Linked DNA regions of Drosophila melanogaster. The protein of the gene in region 1 interacts with the protein of each later gene in a biochemical or structural test. Each region holds a gene or a part of one and is shown in the gene's direction. Other genes may lie near its edges.

Region 1 (5,700 bases):
GAAGCTGCACAAGCTGAAGAAGGTATGTGAAGCAGACTCAGCCCGGAAGCTGCATTAACATGTTTCCCGTAATTCCCACTCCCTGCAGTCAACGGGCGAGAAGGCGGACACGATGACCAAGAAAGACGCCATGTACTTCCCGCTGATCGCGTCGGCAGCCCTCTTCGGGCTGTACCTGTTCTTCAAGATCTTCCAGAAGGTGCACATCAACTACCTGCTCACCGGCTACTTCTTCGTGCTGGGAGTTATTGCTCTGGCGCACCTGCTCAGTCCGGTGATCAACTCGCTGATGCCCGCCGCCGTGCCGAAGGTGCCCTTCCACATCCTGTTCACTAAGGGGGAGGGCAAGCACAAGGAAGACATCGTTAACTACAAGTTCTCCACGCACGACATTGTCTGCCTGGTGATCTCCTCGGCGATCGGAGTGTGGTACCTGCTCAAGAAGCACTGGATCGCCAACAATCTGTTCGGTCTGGCCTTCGCCATCAACGGCGTGGAGATGCTGCACCTGAACAACTTCGTCACGGGCGTCATCTTGCTGAGCGGCCTGTTCTTCTACGACATCTTCTGGGTATTCGGCACCAACGTGATGGTCACCGTGGCCAAGAGCTTCGAGGCGCCCATCAAGCTAGTGTTCCCCCAGGACCTGATCGAGAACGGCCTGAACGCCTCGAACTTCGCAATGCTGGGACTAGGCGACATCGTTATTCCGGGCATCTTCATCGCTCTGCTGCTGCGCTTCGACGACAGCAAGAAGCGCAAGACGCGCATCTACTTCTACTCCACGCTGATTGCCTACTTCCTTGGCCTGCTGGCCACCATCTTCGTGATGCATGTGTTCAAGCATGCGCAGCCGGCTCTGCTCTACCTGGTGCCAGCCTGCATGGGCACGCCCCTCCTGGTGGCCCTCATCCGCGGCGAGCTGAAGGTGCTCTTTGCGTAAGTGTGGACTGCGCTGGGCGCTCGACTTGAAACTAAACTAACTCATTCTCGCCCCCACTGCAGCTATGAAGATCATCCCGAGGAGAAGCCCGAAAAGAAGGAGAAGAAGGAGAAGGACGAGGGCGTCAGCTCGTCCGGCAGCAAAAAGAAGGAGTCGAAAAAGGGCAAGTAGAGCCGGGAGGACGCAACATCCGAACAACATCCCCACTCGTTCCATCGTAAATGTCTTCTGCAGCTAGCCAAGCTCCCTTTCGTTTCGATATGGCTTCTCCATCTACCGCAGTCCATAGCTCATATGGACTAACACCGCTACAAAAGACGATTCACTTACTGAGTTAGTTATGTACGTTCCTTGGCCAGGCACAACAATCTTATTTAGTTCGGTTAGGTTACAATTGTAGAAAATGTTCCCTCGACTTTTTTACCGCAATCAATTTAAATATGTATTTCAAATATTTCTGTGGCTCCGCACAGGAGGCTTATATGTTTAAGAACAGTTTAGATACAAATATATTCCAATTTTTGTAAACAGTGCAATTTTGACTACGAATTCTACATTGCATTTCTTAAAACTAATGCAGTAATTTGTGTAAACAGTAATGCGAATAAATTTTAATTCTAACGTTTAATTAAACTAGTTTTGTATTGAGTAGAGGGTTTTTAGGAATGTAACGGCTTAAGAGAAAAACCTAATACATTTTAAGTTGAGCTTACCAAAATCCAAAGAATTTTTAAATTTAAAACATAATACAAAAGTGCTTTGAAAAAGTCAGTATTTTAATACCACTGTTTATCCACGGCCACACTAAATATCGATAACCGCATAGTGAGACCCTTTGTGTAGAAAAACTTATACCTTTAGCGAGCACAAGCGTTCATTCCTGAAAAATTGCGGTAAAAATTGCGAAAAGCGCGAGTTCCCCCCGCGATTGCAAATAATTAATTTGCTTGGAACCACTGGAGACGCAAGGACGAACAGAGAGGTAGGTGCTCTTGCACTTAGCGCGCCAAAAGGCGACAAAGCCCCTCGTAGGCCACTTACCCACACACACACATTCGCAGACAGACGCGCGTGCAAAAAAGGCCAAGTGGGACTGCTAGCGGAAATCCAGGACTCGAGGACACGTTCGGGCGGCAGTAGAGAAGCGAGCAAGCAGCGACGACCATGTCCGGCATTGCTATTACACGATTGGGGGAGGAGCGCAAGGCCTGGCGCAAGGATCACCCATTCGGGTTCGTCGCACGACCCGCCAAGAACCCTGACGGCACCCTCAACCTGATGATCTGGGAGTGCGCCATTCCCGGCAAGAAGTCCACCCCCTGGGAGGGCGGGCTCTACAAGCTGCGCATGATCTTCAAGGACGACTACCCCACCTCGCCGCCCAAGTGCAAGTTCGAACCGCCGCTGTTCCACCCGAACGTCTATCCCTCGGGCACTGTTTGCCTGTCGCTGCTGGACGAGGAGAAGGACTGGCGCCCCGCCATCACCATCAAGCAAATCCTGCTGGGCATCCAGGACCTGCTCAACGAGCCGAACATCAAGGACCCAGCCCAGGCGGAGGCCTACACCATCTACTGCCAGAACCGACTGGAGTACGAGAAGCGCGTGCGTGCCCAGGCCCGCGCCATGGCGGCCACTGAGTAGTCGGGCTCCTGCCAACCACCTTTACCACATAGACATTAACAAATACACACATCTAGCCGGTAAGCGTTTGTTTGGAATGCTCTCCACGTCTACTTACTTTTAAAGAATCGACTAATTTTGGATAGCCCCCGCGGCCCGAAGCATCTAATTTTTTAATGTTCTGCACTTGCTTAATTACCAGCATGTACCATCTGAATAAATACAAATAAGTCCTGTAATTTTTCGATGAGGCCCAAAGTGGCCACGTGGCACCCAGAATTCGACGCTCTTTTCAGCTTCCATTCTGGGTGCAGGTGCCGATTATTCTACGGGCTATTTTGTATCGCGAGTACTACGTACAAACCTATGTAATTTCAATAAAAATTTATTAGTTGTAAAAGCTTATGCATTTTAAAGCGGAAAGGATTTCCCAGCAAATGTGCAGTCGAGCACTTGTTGGTCGTCAGTAGCCGTACAGCTGGATTTAGTGCTTGAATTATTCCATATAAAGTTCTTCCTTTTGCTTATTATTTAAGTAACATGACTATTTTTAAATTTAAGCATTTTATTTAAAAACTTGTTCAGTCCATTTTTACCTTTATATTTTATTTGATTTTTAGGCATTTGAAGCTGGTCACATTTCCCAACTATTTCAGCTGATCTGGCAAGTCCGCCAACATTACTATGCATAATTTTTGGCTGATCTGGTAGCATTCGCTGCTGATATAGCAATGCTTCCAGCTAACGGTTCATTTCCAACGAGGCCGCCATATTGAAAAATGCCCAGTTAAAACACCTACTGAGATTTGTGTTCGCCTGGTACTTCAGTCTGGGGAATCCGGCATACTGACAGCTGAATTTATTATTTTTCCCGAGGATGCTCATATATTTCGAACTGAATTACCAGGGAAGCATAAGCGTGGAAAGGTGTTTTTAAAACAACCGCCAGGATTCCCAAAGTCTTGGTTTTGGTGGGCATGCTCTATTCTGAGTACCAGGCGAACAGAACTTCTAGTAGGCTACCAACGATCAGCTGATCTATCTGATGCCTGGTCTAATCTAACGGTTCTTTTATTAGGGATGCCACAATATTTTTCTATTGATCCGGTAATATGTCCGATGTTTGACAATATTTTAATCAATCTGGCAACTATGTCGTCATAACATTTTTCGCTAATCTGGCAGCACTCAAATCGTTCGTTGAATTCAAAAATGTAAAATGTCGTTTAGTTACTAATTTCACTATATTTTATATTGAATAAATTAATTACTTTTATTGTCGCACACACTTAATAAATAATGTACTCATTTAAATTACACAGTTAGAATTGCTCGCTTTATGGGGAACAGCGAGTAATTTACATTATAGTATTGGATCTACATTGGAATACTTCGCCTCCTTCTACTCCGCAGACCATTGCAAACTTGTAGTTTCTCGCCCTCAATTTAATTTCTGTCTAAGTGGTAAGCTTTGGCATGCATTATATGTCATGGTTCCCACTTAATGGGTATGCGCCTAAATTAATGTACCTAAGTATCTATGTGTTATTCCTTTAGGTGTACTGTATATGTACGGGAGTACGATGTATATATCTACTTCTATCGATCGGTAAGTCGAAGGAGTCAGTCCCCAAATGGAGTTGGAAGTGGAGGGCAGCGACGGGAGATTTTCCGGGAATACTGTCGTCGATGGTTGGTTGCGGTTTGGATAGTGTACATTTTTAAAGGAGGCTAGGATTCGATTAGTTTCGATTGGGTTGGGCTGCTGCTTAGAAGCACGTGTAATACCACTCAAGCTGCTTGCGCTGCGCCTCCCACCGCAGCTGGCTTTCTCAAATGGCCGCCTCCTGCAGGTTTTCCTTGTTCTTCTGCTGGCCGTGTCCGCCGACCAGGCCGCCAATGCCCAGGCCCACGGCAACGCCTCCGCCCAGGTGATTCGGACTGGGGCTGTCGCTGGCCTCGGGGCGAATGGGCTTGTTTTTGCAGTAGAACTGCTTGTGAGCCAGGTAGGTCTTCACGTAATTGAAGGATATGTCACAGGTTGAGCAGTACTTCTTCATCACCTCGGCGGCGGCAGCTGCTGCGGCAGCCACGCTGCTGCTGTTTCCCAGCGGAGAAGTCATCGGCGGAACCAGCCCGCCGGGCGCAGCATCCGCTCCGACTTCGATTGGCTCAGCCTTAATATGTGGCGTGGCGATCGGGGAGTTGTTGTTCTCGTGCACCAGATTCACAGTCGGTGGTGGATCCAGAGGCTCCGATTTAATGTGGAAACTGTGGACGAGGAAGTTAGAGAAGATATAGTAATAAGAATGTAGATAATTTCCTGTCATCCTTACCTGGGTGCTTCACCGTTGGATACATCGGAATTCGAGTGTTGGTTGGTAGTGGGGTTGGAAGTCACATCTTGATCTCTGGTGTCGGGGGAAATGGAGGGAGAGTTGATGGCCACATGGGGATGCATCAGCTTCATGTGGCGCAGCTGTAAGGAAAAAGCTATAGTGAGTTCTTTGGTCTGGCAGCAATAAAAAGGAGTACGCACCACATTGCCCTTGTAGGTGGAGACATAGTTGCAGTAATCACAGTTGAACATCTGCGAGGGATGATCCATGGAATCGTGTCCAGTTGTGGTAGATGCCCCTGTTGGAGTAACCAGTTCCTGACTCAGCGCGCTAGCATCCTCTTCAAAGATGCAGGTCATGTATAGCTCCTCGTTTACGTCGCTAGTCTTCTTGTCGAAATGGGTTCGAATGTGGGTGCGCATGCCGCGAAGAGTGTTCCCCTTGTACTGGCAGATGCTGCAGCGGTATGCCTTTACTGTTCCGTGCATCTCCATGTGTTTCTTGGCCAGTGCTGCTGTGGGACTCACTACCCCGCAAACAGGACACTTGTTCAGACTATTGGTGGCGGGTTGCGGATTGACTGTCGGCGCTGCGAGAGGATTCGCAACGGGTGGTGGACAAGGCAGACCAATTTCATGCAATGTCTTGCACTTTCCGCACTTCTCCTTTGGCATGCCCAGTTGGCCAGGATCCGTGGGCGTCGCGGCAGGGGCAGCAACTGCTCCTCCCTTGGGGCAATAGTAGTTCTGATGGGCTCGCAGGTTGTCCAGGGAAGTGTACTTAATTCCGCAGGCG
Region 2 (4,733 bases), 6.4 Mb from region 1:
CCGCCGCGATCGGCGGGACAGGGAGCGCGAGCGTGATCGCGATCGCGAGCGTGAGAAGAAAAAGAAGCGCTCCAAGTCTCGCGAACGCGAATCCTCCAGGGAGCGTCGCGAACGGAAGCGAGAGAGAAGGGATCGAGAACGCGGCACCGGATCCGGCGGCGATGTCAAGGAGCGCAAGCCCGATTTCCGTGATATGGATGTCATCAAGATCAAGGAGGAGCCCGTCGACGATGGCTATCCCACATTTGACTACCAGAACGCGACCATCAAGCGTGAGATCGACGATGAGGATGAGGAGAAGTACCGGCCGCCGCCTGCGCATCACAATATGTTCAGTGTGCCGCCGCCGCCCATTTTGGGGCGTGGAAATGCCAGCACGAATCCCAATCCCGACAATGGCCAGCAGAGCTCCGGCGACCCGAGTTGGTGGCGTCAGTAGAGTCATGGAGCGATGTGTCAAGGTTAATATTTCTAGAAGTCAGACGTCTGTGAGTCGCAACTATTTATTCATTCGACTCCGAGGCACCCCAATCCTGGAGAGCCTAACCGTAGCTATCCATTTTACACAGAAAATTTTAAGGTACCACTTGGAGGAGGGCCAAGTAGAACAAGATTATAGAAAACCCGACCGCTAAACGCAGAATCCGCTAATGTGTGCGTAGCTTAAATCACTTAAATTTATAAGTAACTCTTAACAAATGAATATGAAAACAGTAAGTAAAATAAAGCTAGCCCTCATGTGTTTGTTTCCCCACCTTTGGTAAGGGGGTTAAAGGGAATACGGAGAGTCAGGAGCTGGAACGCTTTCGGTGGCGCATACACCGTACTATATGGTTACTCCATCCCATGGTGGTTCCTGGGATTTTCTAACTCACCTAACATAATAAGCTGAACAATACAAACCCTTGCACTAACTCGTGCCTTTTATTTTCTCTGTTTTTTTGCAGTTTTCAATCAATTGAAAATCTGACTCTGACTAGTGTGAAAGCAAAAGCATAAGTATTTAATCAAACAAACAGTAATCCAAAAACGAAAATTAGTTCCGCCAGTATTCGTAGCCCATGCCCAAGTCTAAATTCCAAGCCCACATCAGGTAATTTGGTCTACGCACAAACCTCACTAATCCATGCGTCTACCGTTCTAGGACAGCTCTAGAATCAAGACAGCTACCGCAATACTTTTCCAATCTCCTCCGCTCTAGGTTGCCTGTGTTGTGTGGTGGTGTGGCGTGTAAGTTGATTCCGGGCTAAGAAATTTTGTAAACCAAAACCTTTTCCGTAAGTTTGCCCCGGTAAGATTACGATATCCTCGCCTAACCGCCGTGGATCGGATGGATGAGTGAGTTAGTGTAAGGGAGCTTTCCTCTGTTTGGTACACATTGCGAACTGCTCCGATGGCCTGTGGCAATCTACTCCATTCATCCATTATGTCTGTAACCAATTTACCATTTCGATCTTTTCATGTACGTTGAGCTGATTGTTATCGTACTGAAGACGAATCCGCGGCGGAAACTCGCATAGAACAAACAGAAAACTGCGCAAAGGTTTGCTTTTGGTAACTGGTAACGATTGGTTGTGGTTGGTCAGGTCAGGGGTCTTTCGAGCTGGTTAGCCTCCACTTTGGATTGCGGACGGTGACAAAATTCTGGGGGTCTTTTATTTTTGTATTGTATTGTTTGGCAGACAGGATCCATGCAATTGCCTTTTCGTACCGTGCGACATACGGGAAACAAACTATTGTGTAGCAGGGCATTTTTCCTATTACACCATTATTAAGAAAAGCGGACAGAGATCAATGTCACATTTAGATTTGATCAAATAAAGAAAAGAATTCCTCCTTACACGAAAAAGTACTTGTTTCATTTCTAAGTATTTATCAAGATGACTTGAATTTTTTACAATTTTCGCTTGTTAAACTGGTCTATATGTCCTGGATAAGAAGATTTGCAGTGGCGTCCTTGGAATCTCTTTAAAAATGTATACATTTGTTGCAAATAAAGCATTGTGAAATCTATGGACATTAAATGCGACCTCTATTGGAAAACATTCACATATGTCGCAAATTATTATAAGCGGATATGATAGAAAATGTTAAAGTAAAAGGGACTAATTTCAAGGATGAAACATTGAATATCAATAGCAAGCATTTTTCATTCCAACCCGATAAGTACCTATGTACCCAGTTATATTACGAGTAATGGGTATCAGCTGATCGCTACCTTTGCTTCTAAAATGGCATACTGCGTATATCAATAGGCGACATATCGATATAATTGACTGCTATCTCAGCAACATAAAGAAACTGGAATATTCTAACTGTATTTTGCATGCGAATATAAACTTTAGCCGTAATCTTGTCGAATGCTACAAAAAACTACCCAGTAACTTATTATTCTGCCTTTCTTTAATTCGATTCCCTTTGCCATTGAGTACCCGATAGTTAAATATTTGTATGCTGCCCTGCGTACACTGGCCTACAAGCAACTCGAAAAATTCAATTATGTTCGCCGATAGTTAAATAATTTGATGTGGCCCTGCTCACATTGGCTAACAAGTAATGTGAATTAATTATGGGTATAGATATTGCTTGAATTGCAATTCTCATATCACTTTTTTTTTAATTTTCCGTAATATTCATCTTTACGAACCATCCCAATACTTATGCTTCTATTTAAATATTAACATTCATATTTATATTAAACATATATATTGACTCTCTAATATGCTTTAAATGCTATTTAAATCGATTGCGTGCTTAGCATTACATTTTTTAGTCCAATTGTTTGAATATTTTTTCTTTTCGGCATATATCAAAATTACTTGTTAGGAAAAACGTGACCGAAAACCGAAACAGTGACAATAATGGATGGTTGCTGGCGAATCTATCGACTACCTATCGTGTATCGATACACACCGATAGTATCGCAAAAGTTAACGAGGTAGGTCCAGCACCAGTTTTTTTGGCGTGTAGCTGTAGCAGAAGCAAAAGGAAGCCGCTTGTGATAAATTTCAACTTCCATCAGCAAGCACTGAATTTGAGGAAATCAGGTAAATTTTTGCATTTCTACGCGATTAGTTGCTGCCCCGCGGTATTGTGCTTAGTTTTTACGTGTGGTTTACCAATTTCCGCGTACTTAATTGGACATTTTGCCTCGTTTTTTTTCGTACAGCACGCCCGGCATTCGACGCTCCGCAAAAGAAAAAAAAAACTTTTTTGACCACTTAGCAGCTTCAACAAGCAACCAAAAAATCAACATGTCTGACGAAAAGAAGGGAGGTGAGACCGAGCACATCAACCTGAAGGTCCTCGGCCAGGACAACGCCGTCGTCCAGTTCAAGATCAAGAAGCACACACCCTTGAGGAAGCTGATGAACGCCTACTGCGACCGTGCCGGACTCTCCATGCAGGTGGTGCGCTTCCGTTTCGACGGACAGCCCATCAACGAGAACGACACTCCGACCTCGCTGGAGATGGAGGAGGGCGACACCATCGAGGTTTACCAGCAGCAGACTGGTGGCGCTCCATAAGATTACTTAGTTAAGTTAGTTACTCCTCTTACAACTACACACTTAAAACGAAAAAGAAAAAAATACAAGAAAAACCACAAAAGCAAAAACACAACAACAACAACATGAAGAATCCAACAAACCAGGCCCTAAGAATCGATTGAATATGCTTTTAGTACAACTGTAGATTCTAAATGCGTCTGTGTGCGTAAATAACAAAAACATTTGCAGACAAGAAAATGGTAAATAAAGCATTTTATAAACTACACAAAATTTGCCGTCTTTCGCTATTTATTCCTGCGCCTGATCGGCGTTTGTTTTTGCCCTTCTGCAACGAAAAGCCGGTGCGAATTTCCCGCTTTGTGACCCTCTTTCTAAACAGCACGCACACACACTGTCATTGGCATGGCACGTCTGTGTGCGAGCAGGACTGGGTCCAGTGCGCGTGTGTGCGTGCAAATTGATATACATACACATCGGAGAACACTGAATTTGCGGGAAAAGTACAAGCATACATATACGCCTGCGAATTTGCGAAGTCTGGGAAAACATAACCTCAAATTTGAACAAGAAAAAAAAATGACGTCAGTTTTGAGAACCTTCTGGAAATTACATAGAGGTAACTATAACCTCAAAATTGGGATCTAGTAATACGCTTGTGTGTTTGTGAAAGCCAAGCCATACATGATGATTGTGTATGTATACCATGTATACATACATACCATTCATGATGTATGTGCGTATGTGCTTAAATTTTCAAAGGTACAGTTGTGTAAAAAAAAACTATGATGAAAAATTAAAAAGTAGATATGTACGTATGCATACATGAAGTCATGTCGACAGGTCCTGTTATATTAGACCGGCTGTATATGTATATGTATATGTGTTCATTTTTAATATTGGTATTGGGTAAAAATTTCCGAAATTTTTCTTATAGATTTTTTGCTGTCTCACCATGACTCAGCACCATACATATATACTTTATATTGTAAAACATTTATTTTCCAGGCCCTTTAATTATGTATTGAGAAGCAAAGTAATGAGTCAAAGTCGAAGTCTATTGAGTTTGTTCATACTTTGTTGCATTTCATAGATGAATTTCATAACTCGTAATAAAATTAAAATTCATTAACATTATGTATTTAATTTTACTTGTTGAGTCCAATTTATAGTATTATTTGCCAATGTATACTGTATGTTGAATGGAATAAACTAGTTTTTCAAATA
Region 3 (5,175 bases), on another chromosome or scaffold:
CAACTTGACTTTGGTTCGCCTTTAACAACCAGAAGCAACCATAATTACAATTGACCCCAGATCAGCAATATTAAAATAGGCCGAACCTGAAGAACCTTTTCAGTCGTAGATAGCTGGCGAGCTCTTGAATAAAAATGCTAATGAAAATTGTAAAATTGAAATATTTCTGGTAGCAACAATGTTATATCAAATTATCATATTTGCTTTAGATTAACCTAAGTCCCTGTAAACTCATAAGACATTCTTTATATCGAAGTGGTTCCGAGTCGGAATCGCTTAGGATCGGTCCAAGAACGAATAACGATGTCGTTATACTTGCACATACACTAGTATGTAAAGGGATGAACAAAGAAATTTGTTTAACCGAAATTTATGCATTTTTTATGTACATTTTAGTGAAATAACTTTAAGCGGCAGTTGAAAGTCATAAATCTTGAGGGATTATGAATAATTAATATATAGAACAAATTCAGAAAATAATAAGTAAGCCACTCCATTACATATTTTCAATGTAATATAAGATTAAAGTCATTTACATTTGATCCGTTTACGGAAATGTATTTGAATAAGTTAGAAAGGTCGAATGGATCAGTTTGAAACTGGTAATAGGTGCGTTATGTACAAAATTAAATTAAATGATTTGGAACAGATAATTTTGTTTGGATATGGCACAACTACTTTTCGTTTGGCTTATCCTTGGGATCTTTACTATCGACACTTTCAGCCGCACTTTCCTCGGTCTTCTTCGACCTTTTCTGCGCCTTTTCAGCCTGCTTTTGCTTTTCGGCCTCAGCCAGAGCAGCCTCCTGCTCCTGTTTTAGTTTTTCCTTCTGCGCTGCAGCCTCAGCCACTTCCTCATCGTCCCAGTCGGCCATCGAGCGGTCGCGCTTTAGCCACGAATGCGTGGTGTCCGGCTTGAAGGCTGCATGGGAATATAAGGGATTGAGAAAATGTACAGCCACTGGCGCTGGAGAAACTCACTCTGGTTGAACCATTTGATGCCGTTCTGCATGTCCTCGATGATTTCACGGGACGTGAACATCACCTCATTCTGCACCGCCTGGTGGAACGTTGAGGTCTCGAACGTGCTCGAGTAGACCGAGTTGCGATCGTGGATGAGCGCGCGTTGCGGGAACTTGGCCAGACAGGTGGCCAGCTCCAGGGCATTGCCCAAGGCCGTGCCTGTGGGCACAATCCTGTTGACCAGTCCAATGTCGTGGGCCTCCTGGGAGCCCACCGGACGTCCCGTAAGTATCAGGTCCAGGGCACGCGACAATCCAATCATAGCCGGCAGCCGGATGGTGCCGGCATCGAGCATTGGCACTCCAAAGCGTCGATTGAAAAATCCCAGTACTGCGGACTCCTCCATCACGCGCAGATCGCACATGAGAGCCAGCTCCAGACCGTTGGCTATGCAGTAGCCATTGATGCCGCACACGACCGGCTTCTTGATCTGGCGACGCGTGGGACCCACGGAGCCCTCCGGTCGCATCAGGATGTCCACGCTGATCTCCTCCTTCTCGTCGGTGCTAATCTCCAGGATGTCGAAGCCGGAGCAAAAGGAGCCGCCCACGCCGTACAGCACGGCCACCGGCGACGTGTCGTCCGCCTCGAAATTGGCGAAGGCGTCGCAAAGCTGCGATGCAGTAAGCGAATCGATGGCATTACGCTGCTGCGGTCGATTGATGCCGATCAGCGTGATGTTCTTATCCTTTTCCACAAGGATGTTCTTCGGTGGCGCCGCCTCTGCTTCCTGGGTCGCTGGATCTGTAGCGATTGAACGGTTACAACAGTATAAGTCCAAATTATGTCACCGGCTTTTTCGCCGACTTACATACCTTTGTGCAGCGCTTTTGTCGAGGAAAATGTGCGACTCGCGGCGGTGAAACGTGCTTGCTGACCCACCTGCTGGGCCAACAGACCTCCAAATTTGCGAAGCATGATCTAAGCCAAAATGGCAATCAATTATTCTTCACAATGGAGAGCAACAAGCTTAAAGACTTACCGGAAAATTAAATATTGGTCAGATTTCGTAAAAACAATTCGATAGTAATTGTCTTACAGAGCTGCCACCGTTTTGTGGCAATCCTATTGTGTTAGCTTTTTCCCGCTAAACTTGGCTATTTTAAAGCTTGGTTTGCTTGGCGGTAAGTTACAAAATAAATTCACCTCAATTTGTTGTTAGGATGTTATAAAAACTATAGAATAGTATATAGTATAGTATAGTACAGTATAGAAAATTATAAATATTATAATTATAAGTGCTAGATTTTAAGTGCTTTATTTAGTTTTATTCTGTACGTACAAAAACAGTTGGCAGCACTGATTCTGCAAAAGGCGTTTTGGCATTTTCAAAAGGCGTTAGTTTCTTGTTGCGGCGTCTCACTGAAAGTTGTTGCAAGAAATTTGTATTAAGTTGTGAAAAATACATTTTAAACTTGATAAATAAATAATGGTCGTGGATATGGACACCAGCGAGACAGCCGTGGAGCTCACTGAGGCGGAGAACGAGCTGTACGACAGACAAATCCGACTCTGGGGTCTGGAATCTCAGAAACGGTGAGTGCAAAAAAACCGGCATTCCGCAATGGCGCTATAATGCGCTAAAATATATTTTCGATTTAAGCCTTCGCACGGCCAAGATTCTCATCGCTGGACTGTGCGGCCTGGGCGCCGAGATAACCAAGAACATCATCCTGTCCGGAGTGAACTCCGTGAAGCTGCTGGATGACAAGGACGTAACCGAGGAGGACTTTTGTTCACAATTCCTTGTCCCCCGTGAATCGCTGAACACCAACCGGGCCGAAGCATCATTGACACGGGCACGTGCTCTCAATCCCATGGTGGACATCTCCGCCGACCGCGAGCCCTTGAAGGAGAAGACCTCTGAGTTCTTCGGTCAGTTCGACGTTGTGGTGGTCAATGGCGCGACCAACGAGGAACTGTTGCGCATTGACACCATTTGCCGGGACCTGGGCGTCAAGTTCATAGCCACCGATGTGTGGGGCACCTTCGGGTTCTACTTTGCCAGTCTGCAGAAGCACAGCTACGTCGAGTAGGTTCCCTACCTACCATTGCCCATTGCTAACTTAATGTCCACCTTTTTTCCAGGGATGTTATTAAGCACAAGGTCGTAGCCAATTCGGAGAAGAAAAAGAAGTATGAAACCGTGTCCATTCCAACGCAGCGTGATGTGGATTATCCCGGCTACTCTGCCTGGCTTGATTTCGATGTTACCGAGCCTAGTTATTTGCGAAAATTGAAGCGCAATGGCCCGGGTGTTTTGCTATTAAGTGTCCTGCAAAAGTTCCGCACAACCCACAAGCGGGATCCCAGCTACAAGACCCGAGAAGCTGACCTGGAATTGCTTCGCGGAATTCGCGACGAACTGCTGCCCAACTCTATACTGGGCGACGAAGCTCTAGGTCTGATTTTTGCACAGATCTCGCCAGCGGTCGCTGTTGTCGGCGGCGTTGTGGCACAAGAGGTCATCAAGGTGGTTACTAAATTGGAGGCGCCACACCGTAATCTGTTCGTTTTTGACCCAGAGACTTGTGCCGGATACGTTGAGGCCATCGGAGCGAAGTGAATTTACCACAAAGGGCTTATTTATAAAAATCTGAATATCAAATAACACCAGTTGTAAAATTTTATTGGTTTTTTAATGTCCCGTACTTATTAAGAAAGCTTAGCTTGTGGTAATCTTAGCGGGGCGTTTAAGTTTAGGGGATGCTGGCCAAGTAGTCCTTGATTGAGGCGGGGTCCAGACGCTGGAATCCGTTCTGATCGCAGATTCCGATCTCAATGTTGTCGGCAGTCATTTTTCCCTCAAAACCTTCTTTCAGCGTAAGGATGGCGGTGTGAACAGCGTCGTCCAGCTCCAGATCTTCGCTGTAGCTGCAGGTTGATGAAAATATGAGTGACTTGCGACTTTAATTGGTGTACTATTATTGGTACTTACCGCTTCTCCAGGAAAGTTTTGCCGTTCACTGCGTTCTTGCCCATGGCAGTGGCCTTCCAGGCGAAGTAGGCGCCCGAAGGATCGGATTGGTAGAGATACGGACGATCATTGTCCCAGCCGCAGATCAGTAGGGAAACGCCAAAGGGACGAACGCCACTGTTGGTGGGATTGCATACGATTATCTATGGGAACCCAAAGTCGAGAAAAGCGCGCACACTTACCCGGACTGAGTGTACTCCTGCATGAGCGTGGCCACGCGCTGCACCAGCTGTGACACTGGAATCGGCTCCTTGTAGGTCAGGTAGTACGTCTGGGCGATCTTGCGGGCCTGCTTGACCAGCAGGCGGTAGTCCGGACCCATTCCCGAGTACACCATGCCGATGTGGTTGTAGATCATCTCCACGCGATGTACACTGTGCTGCTCATACAGCGGTGACTTGTGTTTGTTCTCTGTGGCAATGACGACGCCGTTGGAAGCTACAGCCAAGAAAAATAAATAATAGTGTGTTAGTTGAATGCACAGTACTGGCTGACAGGCTGACTGGCTGTGCGGCATGCTAACCTATAATGCCCACGGAGGGAGCTCCGCCAGATACGGCCGCCAATGCATACTCCAGTTGGACGAGTTTTCCGGAAGGACTGCAAACGGTAGAAAATTGTACTTATTGCCCAGTCATGGCGGCAGTTTGTGTTGCGCGGGGCGAAGCGAATGCTCCGCTCCGGCTATAGCGATGCTCTCACCTGAACGTGGTCAACGAAAAGCTGTATCGTTCGGTAGCCATATTTCCTGGGCCGCAAATGCAGTGATTTGATGTGTAAAATGAAAAAGCCGACTTATTTCGCACAGAAACAAAAATGACACAGCAATTGGGCGGCAGTGTGACCGAATGCTGAATGCCAAATATGGTACAGGTCGATCAGGGGGACTAAACAAATGGGCACACTACCGATTTCTAAACTTAAAAAAATATTTAAACTCATTTATTTATTTTCGCCTACTTTACTTCTTATTACATTATTTCTAAGTTAATTCTAAACTAATTGGTTTTAATCCGATTTAGTGCCGCATAGGGTTCGCCGCAGGTGTCGCCCAAGACTGGACTTTTGTGTGTATCGGGTTGAGCAGTGTGAACACTTGTAGGGTTTTTCCCCCGTATGCGTTCGCAAGTGTTCCTGGTGTTCTGCGCTTCTCGCAAACAATTTTGAGCAGTGCG
Region 4 (6,072 bases), about 17 Mb from region 1:
TGTACATACATATGTACATATAGACTTGTTGTGTACAATCATTTTTAAAGAATTATTTTTTACGTTGTTTTGTAAATCGCTGATGGCTCTTTTAAAATCGTCGATTTGCTTATGCAACTCATTGACTGAAATACCAGACGAACTGGCTGCCACAACTTGAGCAAGGACCTTGGGGCAGGGGCGTGGTTAGCTGTACACTGAAAGAAATTTTAGTGACTTAGCATGTAGCTATGGGGGTAAGTAGCAACTTCGCTCTTACCTTCACATTGAATGGGACACCGACAACATTGTTGGGTTAGTTGCCCCACCGCTGTCAAGGACACGTGCCACAGGAAGTTCAAAGAGTTTAAGGCGAAAGTCCGACAACCGGAAAAAATCAATAATGTCGTATACACGGGGTGCAAATGTACATATGTGTATGTACATGAAAATGACTGCCCCAGCACGTGTCAGCTTATAAGGGGGCAGGATCCATTAAAAATTACCTCGCGGGACTGGACGAATATCGCGTGATTTTCGTGGAAAACCCGCTGCAATTGGTTGCCGGCCTTGTGGGAGTGGGAGCTTCTCCATTCACCATTGTTTGATCGATGTCTGGACTCCATTAACCGGGTTGTTGTTCTACGTTCGTGCCATCAAGACATTGCGAGTTGACTTAGTCCCGCAATTCCCCCACTCCAATTCCACGGGCGGCGATGGCAATTGATGTGGAATTTCAATACTAACATTTGACATAATTCCTATTTATTTGCGCTTAGCTCACGTGCACTTATGTATGTATGTATGTTTACCAGGTGGCATGACCTTCGTGCCAGTGTGGTTTTGATAACGATTTACGATAATGGCGGAAAGTCCTTTTTTATGCATATGTACGTAGTATTGGGAAGAACTTAAGCATGTGGATTTTGTGTCACCGACCATCCAACTTTAATTAATATTATTTTTATTCTTATTTACTTATAAATTTTTCACAGTAATAAAATAGGAACATTTAGTACTTATTTGTAATTTTGTCATGAAATTATAAAAATACTACCTGGTTCTTTCGCATGTATTTCAAACTGATAATATTTCGTTTTCCAAATAATGTGACAATTATATTTTCTATTCATCGTTCATATTTAATAATTTGGTTTAATTAGCTGAAAAACCCAAAACATAAAAATCCTTATCTAACGTGCGACCACTTTTTAAGCGATGTATTCAATTATCAACTGTACTGACCCCCATTTCCCCAGAAGGTGAATCAGCAATATTATCAAATTCCGCGTAACAAGCCGTCTTGAATGTCAGAGGTCCTCCGCCCGGAAAGTGAAAGCTGCTCCGGAATGCTGAGCACGAAGCAAGTGAGTCACGGCATTGAGACTCTGCCGCAGTGGAAATTAATGCCACAACAAATGCCGGCGCAGGATATTATCCTTTTTCCAGGAATCGTACGCTGATTCAGACCCCCCAACCGCATGGGTGGGAGTGGGGTCTTAAATGGATAGCTCGCAGCCACACACACAGATAGTTAGTGCTCACCGTGCTGTTTCATTCATAAAAGCTGAAAAAGCTTTTCGGAGGCAGTCGCTCGTGGAGATGAGTCACATGTGAAAGACACTGAGATAAATGACGGAAGTTATTTTTTCCATTTATATTTTACTTTTCGTAAATATGCATATATAGTTGGAATATTCGGCTATTTAAACGAATCTCACATTGAAAATCGAATTCTTGATGATTGGTTACCATACAGTTGAATTCTCAATATTTAAGAAAAACAAAATATTTATATTTTCCGATTCCTTTGGGATGCTCCTAATAAAAAGATATGCATTTTCAATTAATTAGGTATTCCTTCAATATAATACGTGTTATAGATTTAAAAGGTGACACATTTTAAAAGCTTTTGAAAGAAACAACTGGCCTGCATTCCTACTAATCGGTATCAGTCAGATAAAAACATTTATATTATATGTATGTATATATTGTTTCGCCTTTATGCAATCATCGCGTATTCCTCGAAACTCGGATTTGTGGAAGATGTGGACATCTGTAAGCTATAAGTCGCAAGTGGAAAACTTCAATCGTACGTGACTCAGCACATGCTGATCTCGCACTCTTCGCCAAGCTAGGCTCTTCGGATTGTCTCTCTTCTGAGCTTAAGTCGAGACTGCAAAGAGCAGAGCTTGGGGCCGACTACTTAACTCCGTTGAAAGCTTCGCGATCTGCAAGTTTTGCGGTATTTTTCAGTGGCGCATACGGTATTGAAAGTTTGGCTCGCCTGTTTCTTCTTGGTGGGCAGTTAGTGTTCAAATCGCGGGCGTCGAGATCGGTTGGTAGTGCGTGTGTTACGGGTATTTTATCTCCACCTCCAAATTGTGCCTTATTTACCTTTTTCGCTGTGCTTTAAGCTTCCGCTCTCTTTCGCTCTTCTGGAGCTCGAAGGCAGGTTGAAATACCAGTAGATAAAAATAAAACGAAAAGTAAAAGAGCTGCATAAAAACGCATAAATTCAATTGAGCTCTAAGCAAGTTTCACTTGCTTTTTCGTATTACGAGTGACAAAAAAAAGAGACCCACCAATATAACGGAGGAAAAAACAAAAATAAAAAACTCGGCGCACGTATTGATAATTTCTATTAAAACTGAACGTTTACCGATTAGATTACACGGCACATCGACACTTTAACCACAAACATCGCAAGAATAACCAAAGAAAATGGAGGGCAGAGCGCGATAACAAATTACCCTAAATTATAAATCGAATAAATCGAAAAACAAAAACAAAAGGTAGTCGTACGTCGATGATCGCATAAGCATAAAGCCCGGAATTCCCTAGAAAAAATCGACGTCACGCGCTCTCTCGCGCTCTTTGCCCACTCTCTCTTTCTTCGGACTTCGATTTCTTAACTTTTCATTAGTTTCTGTTCGAACTGTTCTCCCCCATCCGTTGTTTTTGTCGTTATTATCGATATTATCGCACCCGCTTTGTGCGCGCGCAAAAGTTAAAAAAGAATAAAATAAGAAGAATCAGAAAGAGAGAGAGAGAGAGAGTGAGTGAGAAAGGGAGGGAAGAATAAATTATTTATATATAAAAAATAATAAATAAACCGGTTCCTGCCGTGCGTGCTTGTGTATGTGTTAACATTAACATGAAAAAAGCGCCATATTTCTCAACTATAAATAAATGGCTTATTTAGCTCGCTGTGCAACGGACTAATTTTCCAATTAACACAATAAGAAACTTAACAAATAATGTACATAAAAGTGTACTAATTGGTTCGCGTTGAATTTCAGGTGTCCGATTTACTTAGCAAACCCAGTGATATCAATGCATATAAGCGAGATTTCAGATCACTCCTTGACTTAGGTGAGTCCCCCTATAGAGCCTAGCTTAATTTATTGATTCTGAACATTGATTGCACGGATTAATAAAGTGCGGTGGAAAATCCTAATGGCTGCGTTTTGCGAGAAGGGTCTTGATATTTTAATAAATATGTACACAACTATTGCTTCCAAAGACGCAAAATGTCATTACAAAGAAACGCATCTTGCATTAAACATATTAAAAATATAACCTTATTGAGTCATTGGACGCCTTATCGTTTCGGAACAATGTTTACAGCAACAACATCGTGATTTATCAACCATTATTCACACTTTTAAGGTTTGATAAACCAAGACTGGTCACTTTTCTCGCATATTAATATTTTTCATCCTAAATAGTTTTAACATTTTGACAATGTTTAAAATTCCTGGATGCTAAGATTTGTAATAGCTCACAATTTCTGCATGACAAATAATAGTTAAGATGTTAAAAAAAAACTATTAGAACGTATTCAATCCTTTGTAGTGTAACCGCAGTTGTTGTTGTTGTGTTTTTTGGGTGGCAATTATCCACCTGCGTATTAAATAATCTACGGTGAATGCAAACGATAAACTTAAATAATACAACCGAAACACCTGTGTACATGGCAGCGCAGTCGCAGTGGCTTTTCGACGTCGCCATAAATGAAAGTTTCTTACGGGCACGTGGGTGGGCGAGGGGGGCCGTGGGGCCCAGAGGGGGTGGGGCTCGTGGAAAAGCTTTTGCCCCTTGTATTTATTTATTTTTTGCTGCCACTCAAATACGCCGGAGAGGTTTTCAATTGTTTCATTCTAAGATCGACTCGATGCGCCTGCGGTCGTGTTTGCGCTAACATTCTTTTATTTTTATTAAATATTTTTAAAATTCCCTAACGGTTCGATATTATTTTTAAGTAATAATTTGAAAAGTACCATTTTGAAAGAACAAACTGCGGTTAGTGTGCGTTTTGTGGCCCAAATAAAAGCAAAAAGTGAAACCGAATTCGTCATGAGTGTTCACTGGTTCTTGGTTTGATTCGCAGGTAATTATGAAGAATGAAGAAATGCTTTTAGCTGCTAATACGGTGTAAACTCGAAAAGTGCAACCAAGTTAAATGCAAACCGTGTGCTGACTCATAACATCAGACTCTCGTCTCCGGGACCAAAGAAAATCAAAGCGCTAAAATCGCTCAACTCGTTTCCAGCAAGTCATCGGCGATTTACAAAGCTCGAGTAGAGATTTGTGTGCTAACAGAGATCTAAGGCCAAGTCAATAGATAATATTGGTTATATCTACTGGTAGTTTCCCCGTATGCTAAATCCGAGTCATGATTGATACACGATCTGGCTGTGGGTAAGGCCCTCCGCTATGCAAATCATCAATCAATAGGGATTCTATTTTAGGCGAATATCATTTAAACCACTCGATAAGAAAGATCGTGGCCGTTATAATTGGAGATACGGATAAGATATGTATCTGCATTTTTGCCGGAAGTCACATGTGCACAATAATCCCTGATCGGCTAATTTAACAAACATTGTTTGGTGTGGAAAATAAGGATAATGGACTTGTATTCATACGATACAAAACATAGCTTTTGGCAACTAGTTCCATCGATTTGTCAGCATATCGGTTATTTATTTTTATTTGAGCTGTAAATTGCTTGACGCCAACGATCGTTAAAAAACATTTGTCTGTCTGGAGTTCTTGTTTTTTTTTTTTTTGCGGAACCCGTTTCACTGAGGAATTTTTGGCTGCTTCTGATGCTTTGATGTTGATCTTAATCTTAATTTGTGGTGCTGGCGCCAAAAGAACTTTTTTCTGTGTGTCTTTGCTATTGGAAATTGCATAAAATTAGCATGTTAAATGATCGAAACGAAATGTTCATTTTATTTTGTTTACTTACCTTTTTTTTTTATTTTTCGCCAAAAGTAGTTATCGTTGAACGAGTAGAACGTTATTTTATTAATTCATTTTATGGCTTAACAGCATAGACTTTTTTCTTTTGAATTTATCGTGTGGATTTTTGCAAGACATGGTGAAAATTAATAGCTAATCAAATAAATTATTTATTGTTTTGAGCAAACGAAGGGCAAAACCATAGGAAATTCCAATATAACTCCCCTGCAAAACACTTAAACCAAAAACCATCTATCGATACATTCTCAGGCCATCGTCATTTAGATTTATTTTTATATTCTTATCTTACTTTTGGTTATCTTTGAGTTTTTTTTTCGGATTTTCTACGCTCAACACCTGAGCGTTATCAGTCTGAATGCCGCAGGTTCTATCTGACGGGAATAAACGGTGGCAAATTTGTGTGGTTGCAAATGGTTCTAATCTCAATATAGCTGCGGATGAAACCATCGTAAATAGTGTATTGCAATTAAATTCGGTGGCAGTATAATTCTTGTTAGCCTTTGAATGACATATTAAATTGGTTAATCGATTGAAACTATGGGAATTTCCAGTATTTTGATATCCTCAAAATATTAGATTTAATTTTCAGGGTAACTGACCTATTCTCGTTCAGTTCCATACCTTGTTCTCAATGAGAAAGTCACGTAGTTAGTGAATGATTCTTGCCAAACAGTGGGTGGCACACGAGCGAATTCCTTGCATATTTCAATATATTTCAATATACATACATAGCAAGAAATTTGTTTTGTGACTCATTGTGTTTCGTGGAAATTCGTGTCCCAGTCAAAATCGAGATATTTTGTTTTCAAAAATCTCTGGGTA

Evidence for each region.
Region 2: of the proteins of lwr (region 1) and Sumo, one has a biochemical effect on the other in vitro, tested with the Drosophila melanogaster proteins (2 studies listed by BioGRID).
Region 3: of the proteins of lwr (region 1) and Aos1, one has a biochemical effect on the other in vitro, tested with the Drosophila melanogaster proteins (one study listed by BioGRID).
Region 4: of the proteins of lwr (region 1) and dl, one has a biochemical effect on the other in vitro, tested with the Drosophila melanogaster proteins (one study listed by BioGRID).

The regions. Positions count from the first base shown.
Region 1 is NT_033779.5:538,655-544,354, reverse strand, and holds lwr (lesswright), read left to right. Parts: upstream 1-1,774; 5' UTR 1,775-1,925; intron 1,926-1,975; exon of another isoform or gene 1,976-2,004; 5' UTR 2,005-2,107; coding exon 2,108-2,587; 3' UTR 2,588-2,646; exon of another isoform or gene 2,647-3,118; intron 3,119-3,186; 3' UTR 3,187-3,756; downstream 3,757-5,700. Other genes in the region: Spp (signal peptide peptidase), read left to right, coding at 1-22, 89-939, 1,006-1,114; ush (u-shaped), read right to left, coding at 4,399-4,837, 4,903-5,045, 5,106-5,700.
Region 2 is NT_033779.5:6,965,822-6,970,554, reverse strand, and holds Sumo (small ubiquitin like modifier), read left to right. Parts: upstream 1-2,910; 5' UTR 2,911-3,047; intron 3,048-3,169; 5' UTR 3,170-3,254; coding exon 3,255-3,527; 3' UTR 3,528-3,775; downstream 3,776-4,733. Other genes in the region: snRNP-U1-70K (small ribonucleoprotein particle U1 subunit 70K), read left to right, coding at 1-439.
Region 3 is NT_033777.3:12,431,009-12,436,183, reverse strand, and holds Aos1 (activator of SUMO 1), read left to right. Parts: upstream 1-2,361; 5' UTR 2,362-2,452; coding exon 2,453-2,559; intron 2,560-2,626; coding exon 2,627-3,055; intron 3,056-3,111; coding exon 3,112-3,589; 3' UTR 3,590-3,651; downstream 3,652-5,175. Other genes in the region: Srlp (Spliceosome-ribosome linker protein), read right to left, coding at 675-922, 982-1,767, 1,839-1,941; Prosalpha2 (proteasome alpha2 subunit), read right to left, coding at 3,723-3,897, 3,962-4,117, 4,183-4,438, 4,524-4,600, 4,703-4,743; CG5245 (uncharacterized protein), read right to left, coding at 5,009-5,175.
Region 4 is NT_033779.5:17,446,578-17,452,649, reverse strand, and holds the start of dl (dorsal), read left to right. Parts: upstream 1-2,285; 5' UTR 2,286-2,774; intron 2,775-3,281; 5' UTR 3,282-3,354; intron 3,355-4,139; exon of another isoform or gene 4,140-4,372; intron 4,373-6,072. UniProt on the Drosophila melanogaster protein: Embryonic developmental transcription factor. The lateral or ventral identity of a cell depends upon the concentration of this protein in its nucleus during the blastoderm stage.